Elephas maximus indicus: one gene and its partner. The protein of the gene in region 2 interacts with the protein of the main gene of each other region in a pairwise test. Links are inferred from orthologs where the notes say so. Each region holds a gene or a part of one and is shown on either strand. Other genes may lie near its edges.

Region 1 (7,693 bases), on a different chromosome or scaffold from region 2:
CACCGGTGATCCAAGTCTGTTTCTTAACTGCGCCACATGTACAGCTGTGCTGGAAAAAGGAAACTATTAAATATATTAAAAAATGAGAAGTATTATCAATAAAGATACCTCATGAAGCACGTGGTCCCCGTTTATCCACAAAGTAGGAAAATGTTAAGGGCACAGTACCATATGAAAACCACTTTAATTGCAGCAACATCACAAGCCCTACTGATAATATTTAAAAGCAGTTTTCCCCCCAAAGGTCTAATGAATTCTATGTAATAGCCAGTATAGAATTGCTATAGGCAGAGACTCTGATATTAGTTAGAGTACTGCTCATAGCCAAATTTATGGTAATTACGGTGCTGCCAAAGACAAGGAGTAAAAACAAGAAGAAACTTTAAAAGGTTACTTCATCCTCAGTATCTTCGGATTCACACTTGGGCCTACTTTCACTTGGAAAATTTATATTTCAGAGAAGGCCTGTAATACATTATTCATTAATATTAAAAAGACTGTAAATGTAATAAATTTGAAGCTACGATATACTTCAAAGTCTAAAAACACTGTCACTTAAAACTGGCAATTCAATACGAATTATTTGGAAATTATCCATTTTTTGTTTTAAATCTGATGAACTCAGAGAAAACTGAGATGACACTTTTTAGGAATCAAATAGTTTTGATATTAAAGTCACTGAGATGTATTCAACTTTACAATTTTTTTTAACCTTTTCTGTTTCTTAAAATATCTTCATCTTAGTTTAAATGTTTACTATTTTTCCTCCTGAATTCCTACTATTTCTTATCTCTCTACCCTTTTACTCTATATAAAAAATCTTAGGTAAAGACCTCATTAAAAAAAAAGAAAAAGCCCAGTCAAGAGAAGCCTGCAGGCAGACATGCATAAAAAAGAACAATAGAGAATTTAAAACATAAAAAACTCATATAAACTTTAAGAAAGTTATTATTTTTAAAAAATTTTAAGAGAAAATAAATTCCTGACTGAAAGAAATATCAAGGCTGTCTTGGAAATTTCAAGATTTAAGTTCAACCTGTATTTTTCTCTCATTAATTGCATTAACCTTACTGTTCTCTCGGACCGGAAAAATTTTAAGTTTAGGGAAGCAGTGAGTGTATCTATCTCTGAAAACACACTATTTTTCACTTTAAGCTATGATATTCTATGTTAACTTTTATTATGGCTTTTTTTTAATTACAAAATATCTAACCCAAGCTTGAAAGTCATAGAAGACCACGTTTCCACTGAAAATGTCATTAAATCATTTAATCATAAGAACTGTCTCCAATCTTAGAACATTTAATATGGCCTACACACGACAGCTTTGCAAAACTAATTCTAACACAACACACTAGCTTCAACATATTGTATATTCAAAGGAAAATACTGTGAGTGTGTTCAAAGTTTAGAATGTTTGTACACACTTTTAAAACTTTTTTTTCTTAACAGCTTTAGACTTCACCAAGATGTACAGACCCTGAAAAATGGTCGAGTTAAAATAAAGACCAACTGTGTTTAGAGTCTTGAAATGAAATACTGAGTTCTAAATTTGGTCATTTATCTCTGACACCTTCAGAGTTCAATGTTTATATTAAAATGCTGTATTGGCAGATTTCATTTTCTGATGTTCCATTTTACGGAAAAGTTTCATGTTTAAAACTCATTAACAATTTACACATGTGAAGTTTTAGCTGTTAAACACTGCGATCCAATCCTTTTATAAATAGTGAAACAGTGTTAATTTGCTTAAAATCCGGTGCAAAATATTTGATTATTTAACAATGTTTACCTCAAACAGAAATGAGAGGAGAGCGGTCTTTAGCGACTCCATTTAAAAGTGTCTCTTCAACGACTATTTTTACTTCAGGACCATGCAAACAAATATGGTGCTTAAAACCTGGTCCTTTTGCAACCCCAAAACCAATGCCTCAAATACACAAATAATTTCCAAGAACAGAAAATCCATAAATAAGATATACTTAAAGTCCACCCACTGCCATCAACTCCATTCCCACTCAGAGCGACCCTACAGGACAGAGTAGAACTACCCCATAGGGTTTCCAAGGCTGTAAATCTTTCTGCCACATCTTTCTCCCGCGGAGCGGCTGATGGGTTCCAACCACCAGCCGTTCGATTAGCAGCCGAGCGCTCTAACCAGTGTGCCACCAAGGCTCCTAAGATATACTTAAAAAAAAAGCACCCCCAAATTCAAAATAAATTGCATAACTTACTCTGTTTTCCTTCTTTGTTTGTCCTCAAAGATGTCATTGAGATTGATTGCCACCTGCCCTAAAAATTTATCCAGCCCCACCAGGGACCTGTGCATAACTATGAGGAAAAGGATGTATTTCTCTGGATTCCCCTGCATTAGCAGCCCTGGTAGCTCAAAGGAGGCCTCTTCCTTCCAGACTGGCTCAAGGGTTTTCTCAGCTACAGAGGTGGAGTACTTCTCCTTGCCCAGCTGAATGATAGTGTACGTGTCATTGGTACCACTTTTGCCTTTGGGCTTGAGATCTTTGGCTTGGAGCACTGTGACCTGCACGTGGGTTGGAAACCACTTTTGGGCTTGCTCTGACAGCATCATTCTGCCCTTTTTCTCTGCTCCGAGTCCCCAAGCGCAGGCAGTGCCCCTCGCCGGGGGACAGCCTAATGCTTTGATCACTGCATCTTAAGGGCACTTAAGGGACACCAGGCGAACTCGGCGCTGGCCCACTTCCCTGGGGATGATGATGTCAAAACGCCAGCCTGGGGCAGCACGGGGGTACGGCTGCTCTGGGGGTCCCCTTTCCTCCGGAGCAGCAGGGGCCCACCATCACCTGGCCGCGCTCCAGGCCTCCCCGCGGACCCCCGCACCTCGCCTCTCCACTTTCCCGCTCCGCCCGCCCCGGAGACCGGTCTCGGCGGCGGGCGGCCCCCGGGCCTGCCGGCAGGTGAGACCCGGCCACCTGGGCCCGGCGGAGGCTGCAGAGGTGGCAGGAGGCCTCTTGGGAAGCAGAGGCTTCCGAGCTCCCCCTCCGCCCGAGTCCTGCGGCCCCAGCTCCCGCCGCCTCCTCGCGGCCCGGCCACCTCCGCCTGCCGCGCGCCGCCCGCCCGCCCGCCCCGCGCTCGCCGCGGGCCCGGCCCGGCTCCTCCGCCCGACCCGGGTAATACGAACCGCCGGCGGCCTCGCTCCCTCTCTCAAACCTCGCCCTCCTCCTCCCCCTCTCGCCTGGGCTCCTCCTCTCGGCGGGGGCGGCCGCGGGGGTGGGGTGGGGCGGGGCGGGGCGCGGGCGCCGGCAGGACGCCGACGGGCCCGGCTGAGGCGGCGGGCGCGGGGCCTGAGCTCGCGGGGCCGGCGGCTCCTAGCACCGGCCGGGCGGCGGCGGCGGCACTTCCGGGTTGCCCTTCTCCATGTTGATCTCGGGAAGGCGAAGGGGCGGGGCCGGAGGGGCCGCAGGGTCAGAGGTCAGCACCTCCCTGGTTGCCGTGGCGACCGAGGGCGCCGGCTGCAGAGCCACCCCTCCCCATGCTGGGTGCTGCTAGTTTGGATGCTGCACCTGATGCCCGCGCCTGGCACCGTGCTGGGTGCGGTGCCTGCAAGGCCAGGTGGAGAGCCCCGGGGGGGAACTGGGGACTGCTCCCGAGAGGAGGTAACCAAGGCCCCGGGACCTGCTGGAAACTAGCGAGAGAGCCAATTTCAATTTTTGAAGGCAGGGAACCCGTCTTGCTGTCCCCTGGTTGCCCGGTGCCTGGCACAGAGCGGGCGTTCCATCAGTGGTGGTGGAAGGAACTGGTCCCCTTTTTTTGACGGAAAACCCTTTTCCCCACACCCTTTTCCACCCCTCTGTGAAAGGAGAGAAACCTGTCAATAGACTGGAGATGACATCCGCACGCAGACGAAAGGAGAGAGGGAAGCAGATAACAAAAGATTCCAAGACTAACACATGAGTTAATAAAGATCGCGAGAGGCGCTGGACTGGAGTCAGAAGACCTGATTCCGATCTCACCTCTTCCGCGCGACCCTAGTCAAGTCATTTCCCCTCCTTCGGCTCCAGTTTTTCTTCACGGGTAAAACTGAAGCCTCCATCGTGTCTAAGACTCAGTGTCGACTCAGAGGCTCAGCATGGAAAGCGGCCCTCCCCTGTGGGCACTCACAGTCTGGTAGACTACCCAGATCATCTGGAGACCTTGCCCCAACTTGGAATGCCAAACCCACAGACTTTACTCCAGTAATACTCCTTTCAGCTCAGAAAGGCAAACAGCCCATTTACTTCATCGTGGGGACCTTCACGCGTGCCTTACCTGCGCTAAAGCCGAAACCAAATGGCCACCAACGCGGTTGGAATGGAGGGAGCTCTGTTCAAAGAAGAATATGGGGATAAATTAATTGTGCGCTTTTGGGGGTGGGGGGGGGCCGGTGCTAGCCTAATCCAGCGGAGAAAGTACTGGTAATGGCTGATGATGAGGCAAAAGCTTTGTACAAAGCTCCTGATGGACACCTCCAGAATGAGGCTGGAGATAGCTTCTGGGAATCTCGGTTTCCTTGTCAATAAACTGTAGATAAAATACCTGTTAAAGAGTTAAGACGAGTGGTATGAGATAGTGTACATTTCCTAGCGCAGTGTGGCACCTAATTCTCTATTTCCATTGGCCTCTCTACTTCTCAGTTATAAGGGGGACCTTTGTACTACCTTTTATTGCATTTACTTCTGTTGGTGTCTTAGGTAACAGCAAGGGAATTTCAAGCACAGGTATTATGGACTCTCCTCATAGAGCCTGGCATGCAGTAGGTACTCCAATTTATTGAATAACTGAATACCTTTTCTCCTTTACACAGATTTTGAGAGTAAAGCAACATGATAGATGGGAATACTCTTTTCCAACTTAAAATGGCTGTGCGAACGTAAGGCATTGTGTTCATTATTTTCAGGCAGGGTTTTAAACGTCTTCATTCAAGGAGGACTTTATGCACTCCATGTTTTCTCGGTGTCCCCATGTTTACAGGATCCTAGCTGCAGCATTTAAAACTCTAAGGAACAAAAAAAAAAAAAAAAAGGAACAGTGAAGTTAAAAAAAAGTTTTTTTTTTCTTTCCATTAAATGCTTTTTGCATGGGGGGATATGAAGACCCAATATATTCGTGTCACAAAGTCAGCTATACAGTTGAAGAACCTTAGAGGGGGTAACGTTATGCAGTCATTTAATCTCCTAGAGGGAAGATACTTCCCTGAGCCTGAAGGATAAGACTACAAACCTCAAAGACCACCCAGGTTCCAGCACATTCTTTCAGGAGTCTGCTGACACTTGCTAGTGTCTATAAATTTCCCTTCATTTATTATAAATTTCAATTTTTTAGTACTGTTTACCCATATAGTAGCTGGTGTGAGTTCTGTATAAAGTAGGCGCTCCCAAAAGAAACACTGGATTAATTTACTACCAAGATCTTCAGGGAGCCTAACTACAAGTAAATCTTGAATAATCCTGAGCTAAATACCATTTAGGATGAAAAGTCCTAGGTTTTAAGTCATTCAAATGAAATTTTACTATGAAGCATAAAAAAAGAGGCAGAATTTTCCATCTCTGGGAGCTAGTGTGTGAAAAGGCCATGTGTGGAAAACAGAACAAAACCAGAGTCCTACAAATACAGCATCTGGATCCCAGAGTGGGCAACTGTCAACTTTAAAGAGAAATAGTCTTAAGGATTTTTAAAGAGTTCACTGAAACAGTCAATGGTGGAATCTCATCAAGATCTCCAGGGAGAAATAATTCGACACCTGAAACTTACAAAAACAAAATAAACATCATAAAGTCAAGCTTAATTAAGTTTAGGATTTTTATAAGGTGCCTTTTTAAAAGTCTTCACATCTCTATTAAAGGTTATAATTAAACAATAAGCAATTATAATAGCGGATGTGTGTTTCTAAAGAGCTTAAATTGTTTGGTACGCTTTATTAATGATTATAAACTTGTTTACAAGTATCATTTCACTCATCTCTGAAACATAGCCATCTCTAGGGTGGAAGTTGGCAGCAGTAGTTCACAGCAACACAACAACACACTCCAACACAATTCAAAGAATACTCTAAAGGCAAGAACTGAACAAACTAGAATTACTAACATCTCTTCCTGTAGTACCTACATTTCTTTGGAGTTCTCCAAAACCTAGCTAGAGCCAAAATGGTTTAGTTTTACTATCTGGCAAGATCAGAAGTTATGACTTCATGTTTGTAAATCAGAATAAGAAAAACAGCATATTTTTGCTCCTGAGGGAAACAAACAAAATGGGCTAAAGAGAATCTGGAATTGCTTTATAAAAGTGAAATGATTTCCCATAGAAGAGTAGTTTTGTTGTTGTTGTTTTATTGTTTATATTAAGAGAGGAGCCCTGGTGGCTCAGCTGCTAACCAAAAAGTCGGTGGTTTGAACCCACCAGCCACTCTGAGGGAGGAAGACGTGGCAGCCTATCCATAACAATTTACAGCCTTGGAAACCATATGGGGCAGTTGTACTCTGTCCTGTAGGGTCACTGTGAGTCAGAATCAATTTAACGACAATGGGTTTGGTTTTGGTTTTGTACTAAGAGGGTAAAAAAAATGTCACTTGGGTCAAATATACGGTTGGCTCAGAGTGAAAAATAATGGCAATTACGTAAGCCCTGGGATCAAAGCAGTTCTGCCAAAATGTTTACTGGCTCTGTTTTAAATATTCTTTTTACTAATTTTAAGATGTGCATGAACGATAATTTAAAAAGGAAAGGATTGTATGTGTAAGGACAACATACCAGAATAGAAGACAGTCTTTTTTTTTTTTTTTAATCCTATGACTAATGAAATGTTTGGCACAATTTTTCCAAATTGGGGGAAAAAGTTCATATCGTAAAGGGAGAAAATCCTGAAAATTCTAACTTTAAATTGTCAAAATGCCTGCTGCGATGAATAAAAATGATTGGACCAGAAAGTAAAAATAGTATTTATTCCCTAATGGTGGAGCATTGTGCAGATGACAGTACTTTCTGAAGGGTGTACTTTTCAGTCCACTTCTGTAAGGGGACTCATTTCAAGCATTGTGGAGGATTTTTCCTTTGGATATCACTATCCGTATGAGAACATCTTGCAAATCTGTTGTAGAACAATTATAGTACTTTGTGTTCAAATGGCCCATTTGGTCAAGAGTGTTAAGATTCTCATTTTATAATGGATGGTAATTATTTTCCAGATGGGGATTCAGGGACCTAAAGATAGGAAGAAGTTTTCTCCAAGGTATCATTACAATATTCAGATTTCAGACTCATATGTATTTTATACACACACACACACACACACACACACACACAGGGTTCCCCGGGTGGTACAAACTTAATAATTAAGTGCTTGACTGTTAGCCAAAAGATTGGCAGCTCAAACCCAGAAGACAGGCCTGGCAATCTGCTTTCGAAAGGTCAGGGACTTGAAAATATGATGGAGCAGTTCTACTCTGCACTCATGGGGTCACTATGAGTCAGCACACACAGGTACACAATTCAAATGTATATAAAATTTATATACATATGACAAAGCCCCAGGGGTATATTGGAGATATGTGAATAGACAGATCCCCACGTCCGTCAAAAAGTTAAAACAAAAAACTATTTGGCTAACTGATTTGAAATTATATTTGCAATAAAGCAGTTTGGGGTTTTTTGGTGGTTTTTTGTTTTGTTTTCCTCACTGAAC
Region 2 (7,614 bases):
CCAGTAGCATAGATTCCAGCATCACGACAACATGCAAACCACCACAGTACATGCTAAACCTTCGTCCAAATGCTTGGGATACTCTAGTGAACAAAAAGATCCCTGTCCTCAAAATGCAAATCAAAACCACAATGAGATATCACTTCACTCCCACGAAGATGGCTGTCTTTAAAAAATGGAAAACAACAGGTTTTGATGCTGATGTGGAGAAGTTGGAATACTCATTCACTGTTGGTGGAATTGTAAAATGATGCAGCTGCTGTGGACAACACTTTGGAGGTTCCTCAAAAAGTTAAACATAAGATTACCGTATGATCCAGCAATTCCACTCCTAGGTATCTACCCAGAAGAACTGAAAGCAGGAACACAAACAGGTACTTACACACCACTGTTCACTGCAGCACAATTAACAATAGCCAAAAGGTGGAAGTAATGCAAGCGCCTATCAACAGATGAATGGATAAAGAAAACATGCAATGGGAAGAAATGGAGTGGAATGGAGTGTTACTCAGCCATAAAGAGGAATGAAGTTCTGATACATGCTGCAACATGGATGAACCCTGAAAACGCTATGCTGAGTGAAATGAGTCAGTTGCAAAAGGATAAATACTGTGTGATCTCACGTATATGAAATATCTAGAACAGGCTAGTGTTTAGAGACCAAAGTTTGTTAGTACTTACCAGGGAAAGGTGGGGGAAGGAGGTGTGATGGTTAAGATTGTGTGTCATCTTGGCTGGGCCATGATTCTCAGTGTTTATATGTGTTTACTCCCATGATGGAATCTGCTGTGAGTAATCAATCAGTTGAAAGGAGTTTCCCTGAGAGTGTGGCCTGCATCTGAATATAAGCAGACGGTTCTGACTTCTTTGCTAGCTCTGGATCCTGAGGGTGCCTCCTGTTCATTTGACCTCCAGCTCTTGGGACTTGAGCTATCAGCTTATCTGCAGTTATTGGTATTTGTCCATCTTCACAGCCTGTGAGTGGGAGCCCTGCTCTCTGACCTGCCAGTCTCGGGTTTGCAGCCCCTGCAGCTACGTGAATCAATAGAAGCTTCTATCCTGATCCATAGACTTGGGATGTTCCCTACAATCGCAGGAGCTGTTTCCTTGATATAAATCTCTCCTTATATATATTTGGAAACCCTGGTGGTGTAGTAGCTAAATGCTATAGTTTGCTAACCTAAAGGTCAGCAGTTTGAATCCATCAGGCGCTCTTTGGAAACTCTATGGGGCAGTTCTGCTATGTCCTATAGGGTCGCCATGAGTCAGAATGAACTCAACAGCTATGGGGGCGGGGGAATATATATATATTTATATGCTTTACTGGTTTTGCTTCTCTAGAGAACATAGCCTAAGACAGGGGGTGGGGAAGGAGGATTGATTGCTTAGGGGGATACTAAGCTAAGGGTGATGAAAACATTTGGAAATGGATAGTGGTGATGGGTGCACAACATGATGAAGGTAATTAATGTCACTGAATTGTACATGTAATAAAGGTCAAAATGGCAAATGTTTTGTTACATATATATATATTTATCATTAAAAAAAAAAAACCCACCCCATCTGGAGCAAGGAAAAATGAAGAAAACCAAGCCACAAGGGAATTGTGTCCCCCCAAAATGTGACAACTTGGCTAGTCTATGATTCCCAGTATTGTGTGATTGTCTACCATTTTGTCTTCTGATGCAATTTTCCTGTTTTGTAAATCCTACCTCTATGACGTTAACGAGGCAAGATTAGTGGCAGCTATGTTAATGAGGCAGAACTCAATCTACAAGATGAGGTTGTATATTAAATCAATCTCTTTTGAAATATAAAAAAGAGCAGCTAGCAGAGAGACACAGGGATCTCATACCACCAAGAAAGCAACACCAGGAGAATAGCTGTCCTTTGGACCTGGGGTGCCTGCGCTGAGAAGTTCCTTGACCAGGGAAGACTGATGACAAGGACCTTCCCCAGAACCAACAGAGGGAGGGAGCCTTCCCCTGGAGCTGGCGCCCTGAATTTGGACTTCGAGCCTACTAGGCTGTGAGAGAATAAATTTCTCTTTGTTAAAGCCATCCACTTGTATTTCTGTTACAGCAGCACTAGATAACTAAGAAAGGACTAATGGACCACAACCATTCCAGCCTCCACTAGACATAGTCCATCACAACTAGGTGGTGCCTGGCTACCACCACTGACTGCTCTGACAAGGCTTACAACAGGGAGTCCTGGACAGAGCTGAAGAAAAATGTAGAACAAAACTCAAACTCACATAAAAAGATCAGACTTACTGGTCTGACAGACTGGAGAGACTCCGAGAGTATGGGCCCTAGACATCCTTTTAACTCAGAACTGAGATCACTCCTGAGGTTCACCCTTCAGCCAAAGATTAGACAGGCCCATATAACAAACAATAATACACATAGCTCCACCATGTATATGAAACCAAATGGACACACCAGCCCAGGGGCAAGGAGGAGAAGGCAGGAGAGTACAGGGAAGCTGGACAAATGGAAATGGGAAACCCGAGGTCACAGGGTTGGCAACCAGTGTCACAAAACAATATTTGTATTGTTTAATGAGAAACTAATTTGCTCAGAAAACCTTCATCTAAAGCACAATACAAAAAAAAAAAGCTCCTTGTCGTTACACAGCTGATCTTCAATGCCCCACCCATTAGAGATTCTGTGACCTATAATTGACAGTCCAAACTGGAACACTTTTGAGAGTGGAAAGTGTGCTATTAATAATTGAGCCTGATGAAAGGTGTAAAGTTCATTCTCGGCATATTGGGACTTATCAACCCAGTTTTATAAAACGTAAACTTATATCTCTACCACAAATGGAAAACCACTATCACCTGCCTTAAATAGGTTAGTAATGTTAAAAAGAAAAAAACAAAATCACCTGTCTTAAATAGGTTAGTAAAGTTAAGGTCAATGAAGATAAAACAATGTAAAATTCTAGCTCAAAAACTGATCTATGGTGAAATACAGAATAGTGGTAGCCTCAGGAGGGGTGAAATCCTTTGTTCAGCTCTTTTACTTCATTTCTTCTGTTTGTATCATGTTTGGTAAAACAGAGGGTCAGTGAAAATGAAGGAAACTCTCAATGAGATGGATAGACACAATAGCAACAATAATGGGCTCAAAATACCGATGATCATGAAAATGATGCAGGACTGGGCAACGTTTTGTTGTTACATATCAGGATGCCCTGAGTCTAAGCCAGCTTGGGGGCAACCAACAACAACATGGGAAGAGCAGAGTGGGGACTGACAGGGTATAAGGGAGCTTTCTGCCTGAGGGTGATGTTTGGTTACCTTTATAGAAGTGGGTTACTCAGTTATATGCCTTTATCAAAGCTCAGCAAATGTCCCTTAAGATTTGTGCATTTCATTGATTATAAATTTTACCTAAAAATAACAAAAACAAAACACAAAATGAGCTATAAACAAATAACGAACTCTAGTTAAATACACCAATGTTTAGAAGTGAAGCAGACTAATGTCTTCAATTTTTTTTTTAACCGAACTCCAAAACAAACCCATTGCTGTCAAGTTGATACTGACTCATAGAGACCCACAGGACAGAGCAAAACTGTCCCCCTAGAGTTTACAGAAGCCGACTGCCACATCTTTCTCCCTTGGAGAAGCTGGTATGTTCCAACTGCTCACCTTTCAGTTAGCAGCTGAGTGCCTAACCACTGCGCCATCAGGGCTCCTCTATAAAGATTACAGCTTCGGAAACCCTATTGGGGCAGCTTTACTTTTGTGATACAGGGTCACTATGAGTCGACTGACTCGATGGCACTAACAACTGTGATAAATCTTATGGGGGGAAAACAGGGTAAGGGGACAGAGAGAGGCAGGAAGACACGTTGGAGAGTGCCTGGTAACCAGTGAGGATTCATAATATATTTGTTAAACAAAAACTTCATGACATAAAAAGTGGTGAATTAATTTTTTATGTGTTCAGGGAAATAGTCTAGCTATCCTCAAAAGAACCCATGAGGTATCCACAGGAGGAAAATGAGGCACAGAGAACTGACACATGAGTCACCAATATAGAGATGGAAACTGCAATGGAAATCACCTCGCTCACAGCCCCTCGAAAATGGTCATTTACGTAGGGAGGCCAGAGCTGAGTGCACTGACCTATGACGTCACTGGGACGCTGACACCTCCTACACCTGGACGTAGCCCCATTTCCCTTCTCGAGCGGGTCCTCCGGTAGTAGGGCAGGATCTGGAGCAAGGCTCTCATTGGTAATTCGCTCCGTCAATCCGTTTCACTCCTCCAGTCTTCCGCTCCGCCTTCCTGACCTCGCCTCTGATAGGCTAGTGCGGCCATCACTTCAGAAAGGTCCGCATTCCTTCCGCCTTTCTCCAGGAGACAGAAGGCTAAGGGGGCGGGCTCCAGACGGCGCCCACCCCGGAGGCTCTGCTTCCGCCTCTGATTGGCTTTGTCGGGTGCCAGTTGCTCGGCCGCCCGTCGCTGATTGGCCACTCGACCGCCGCTCTGTGCCACTCCGGCTCCGCCCCCGCTGGGTGTTTGTGGTGGGGCTGCGGAGTCGCCGATCCCGCCGGAAGCGCCAGGACAATGGGGACCCGGGACGACGAGTACGACTACCTATTCAAAGGTGCGGTCGGTGGGACACCGACAGGCGAGGGCGCGGCAACGAGGCGGCGGGCAGACGAGTCGAGGCTGCGCTCCGGGCCGTTGGGCCCAGGCCGGAGCTCGGGACCTGGGACCCGTCAGGTCCAGCAGCGAGGAAGGCCGGGCAGACTGGGTTCCGTTAGCTCCAGGCCGGAGTGCGCGGCTGCGAGCAACCGGCGGCCCTGGGAGGCCTGGGGACCCGGGATGCGCCGGGGCGGGGTCGGGGCCCAGAGGGGGTGGGGCCCGGAGCGGTGGGAGAGGCCGTTGGGGTGGGGCCTTCGGAGGGGGCGGGGCCGCCCGGGATTTGGCGGGCCGGGCTGGGCTGGATGGATGACAGAGGGTGGGCCTTCGGGGCGGGGCCAATACATGGTGGGCGTGTCTGAGATGTGGACTGGTTCTGAGCTCAGGGGGCGGGACTCTGGGGTGGGCTGGGCCAGGCCTGTTGGGGGCGGGGCTCGCGAGGGGTGGGGCGGATAATAAGGGGTGTGCCGTCGTGGGGGTCCGAGGTGAGGTACGTAGTGGGGCGACCCTGGACTGGGGTGCACATCCTGAATGGGGCGGAGGAGCGCCTGTGTCTGCACCTGGACCTGGTGAAGAACAGAACTAATGATACTAGATGCTTGATAGCACTCACCAAGTATCTTGTCTTTTCTAAGCAGTTTGCACACAGAAATTTATTCAAATCCTCTCCACAATCCTATAAGGTCGTTATGACTCCAGCTCTTTTTTCACAGATTAGGAAACTGAGACCCAGAGAGACAAGGACAGCTAGTAAGTATTAGAGGCAGTTTTGAACCCTAACCTAGGGAGTGTGTTTGAAGGGCCTTGGCACCAGGACTGGGACTCAGGGCTGTTAGACCACCTCCCAACACATGCAGGCTGATGGCACCAGCATTGGCCAACCTTCTGGGGATCTTCCCTGCCCAAGGAGCACCAAGTATGGCCTACGCGGTTCTAGCCAGCCATTGCTTGCTGGGACCAGCTGAGGAGCTCCTTCATCCTGCCCCTGGAGCTGAGGAGACTCCCTCCCTGTCACTGGAGACTCTGTGCTGTTTTAGGGGTCATTGGCTTTGCAGGAGTCCCTGGTGGTACAAACCATTAAGTGCTTGACTGTTAAGCAAAGAGTTGGTGATTTGAACCCACTCGGAGACACCTTGGAAGAAAGGCCTGGCGATCGGCTTCCAAAAGGTCACAGCCTTGGAGCACAGTTCTACTCTGATTCCACTCTGACACACATGGGTTTGCCATGAGTCTGAATTGACTCCACAGGCACTGGTTTGGTTTTTGGCTTTTGGTTTTGCAGCGGTTTGCATGCAAAGCTGAGCAGTGACCAGGTGCTCTCCTGGGCTCCCTGGCTGACAGTGATCACCCTAGAGAGCTGCTGACTGCCTGCTGCCTGCTGTGTGAGGATTTGCCTCCCATGTCAGCTGAGGGCATCTTGCTCCCAATGGGGTCCGTGTCCAGAGCAGGCCTTGCCACCTCTTGTGTCTGTGGTATCATCTGTCATCTTGAGGCCAGGCCTGGGGTCCTTGAGATGAGAAGAGTGGGGTGCAGGTCTCCTTGCCTGGGGTATCCATGCAGCAAAAAGCTTCCAGGCAGAGAGAGCCCCTGTGCAAAGGCCCAGCAGCATCACAGCCCCATGGGCTTGGGACCTGCCAGCAGGCTGATGCATTGCTGGCAGACACAGCTGTCTGTTCAGTGAGGCCTGAATGTTGGGACCTTACCCTAAAGCTGGGGGGTGCTTTGGAGGGACCCTCTGGGGACGAGTGACCAGCCTCCAGTCCTGTCACACTGGTCCAATCTGCACTCAGCCTACACAGAGGCAGCTACTCTGTAGATCCCTGCTGGGCACCCGCCCTCTGTGGCCCCGCCAGAGCAGCGGGACTTTTCCAGGTCCCTGTGTCAGCTTGCGGTGTATTGGGTACTGATTATTCTCGACCTTTCATTGTTATAAATAACCCGGTACTGAGGATTTGTGCAAGCCATCGTCTTTTGCCCTTTGGGCTCTTTCCTTGAAGTGTGTTCCCAGAAGTAGTTACTGGGTCAGGGGCAACAAAGCGGCCATGCAGTTCCCAGGATGAATCCCCAGAGTCCGCTTCCTGGAAACGCCAGTGTGACTTCGGCAGCAGCTGGCGCGGGGGGTGGCGGGGCGGGGGGGGTGGGGGGTCGGGGGGGCCCTCCTGCCTGCCTTGCTGCCTTCCCCCCCACTGGCCTCCTTTCATGAGCAGGTGCCCTGCTGACCTTCTTGAGGTGGTTTGGTAGTGGATGTCCAGCCCACAAGATCAGCATTTCCCGGACTATGGACGTAGGAGGTGTCACCTTAACCTTACTATGTGCCTCCATCCTAGGACCATCTACTGTCGTTGAATATTTTTCTTTAAGTTCCCTCATTTTGTCACTCAGGTAAATTTTTTGGGAAAGGAAGCTCTCTGTGACCTTGGACCATGGTGACGCCATGTGTGCAAAGTAGAACTGCTCCATAGAGTTTTCCAGGTCGTGACTTTTCAGAAGCAGACCGCCAGGCCTGTCTTCTGAAGCTCCTCTGGGTGGTTTTGAACTGTCCACCTTTCAGTTAGTAACTTTTGTTTTTGTTAGCTGCTGTTGAGTTGATTCCAGCTCATAGCGATTCCCTGTGTGTCAGAGTAGAACTGCTCCATAGAGTTTTCAAGGCTGTGATCTTGTGGAAGCAGATTGCCAGGGCTTTCTTCTGAGGCACCTCTAGGTGGGTTCAAACCGGCAACATTTTGGCTAGTAGCTGAGCGCTTAGCCATTTGCTTCACCCAGGCATCCCACGTGGGATCACCCTGAGTTGGAATACACTCGACAGCAACTAACAACAGTAGCAACAAGTGACTCTGCCCGATCAAAAAGGAGAGACGGGAAGAGAGAAGCCACCGCCATCACTTGCCGTACATATGGCAGGTGGGCAGGAACAAAACCCTGCATCTTTCTGGGGCGATGGCAGGCACTGA

Evidence for each region. The genes of interacting proteins can lie anywhere in the genome.
Region 1: the proteins of RAB11B (region 2) and RAB11FIP2 interact in binary tests that used the Homo sapiens proteins (3 or more experiments, as listed by UniProt). The link is inferred for Elephas maximus indicus from reciprocal best matches to the Homo sapiens genes RAB11B and RAB11FIP2.

The regions. Positions count from the first base shown.
Region 1 is NC_064834.1:68,771,760-68,779,452, forward strand, and holds the start of RAB11FIP2 (rab11 family-interacting protein 2), read right to left. Parts: upstream 3,035-7,693; 5' UTR 2,588-3,034; coding exon 2,235-2,587; intron 1-2,234. UniProt on the Homo sapiens protein: A Rab11 effector binding preferentially phosphatidylinositol 3,4,5-trisphosphate (PtdInsP3) and phosphatidic acid (PA) and acting in the regulation of the transport of vesicles from the endosomal recycling compartment (ERC) to the plasma membrane.
Region 2 is NC_064821.1:13,111,155-13,118,768, forward strand, and holds the start of RAB11B (ras-related protein Rab-11B), read left to right. Parts: upstream 1-4,514; 5' UTR 4,515-4,585; coding exon 4,586-4,625; intron 4,626-7,614. UniProt on the Homo sapiens protein: The small GTPases Rab are key regulators of intracellular membrane trafficking, from the formation of transport vesicles to their fusion with membranes.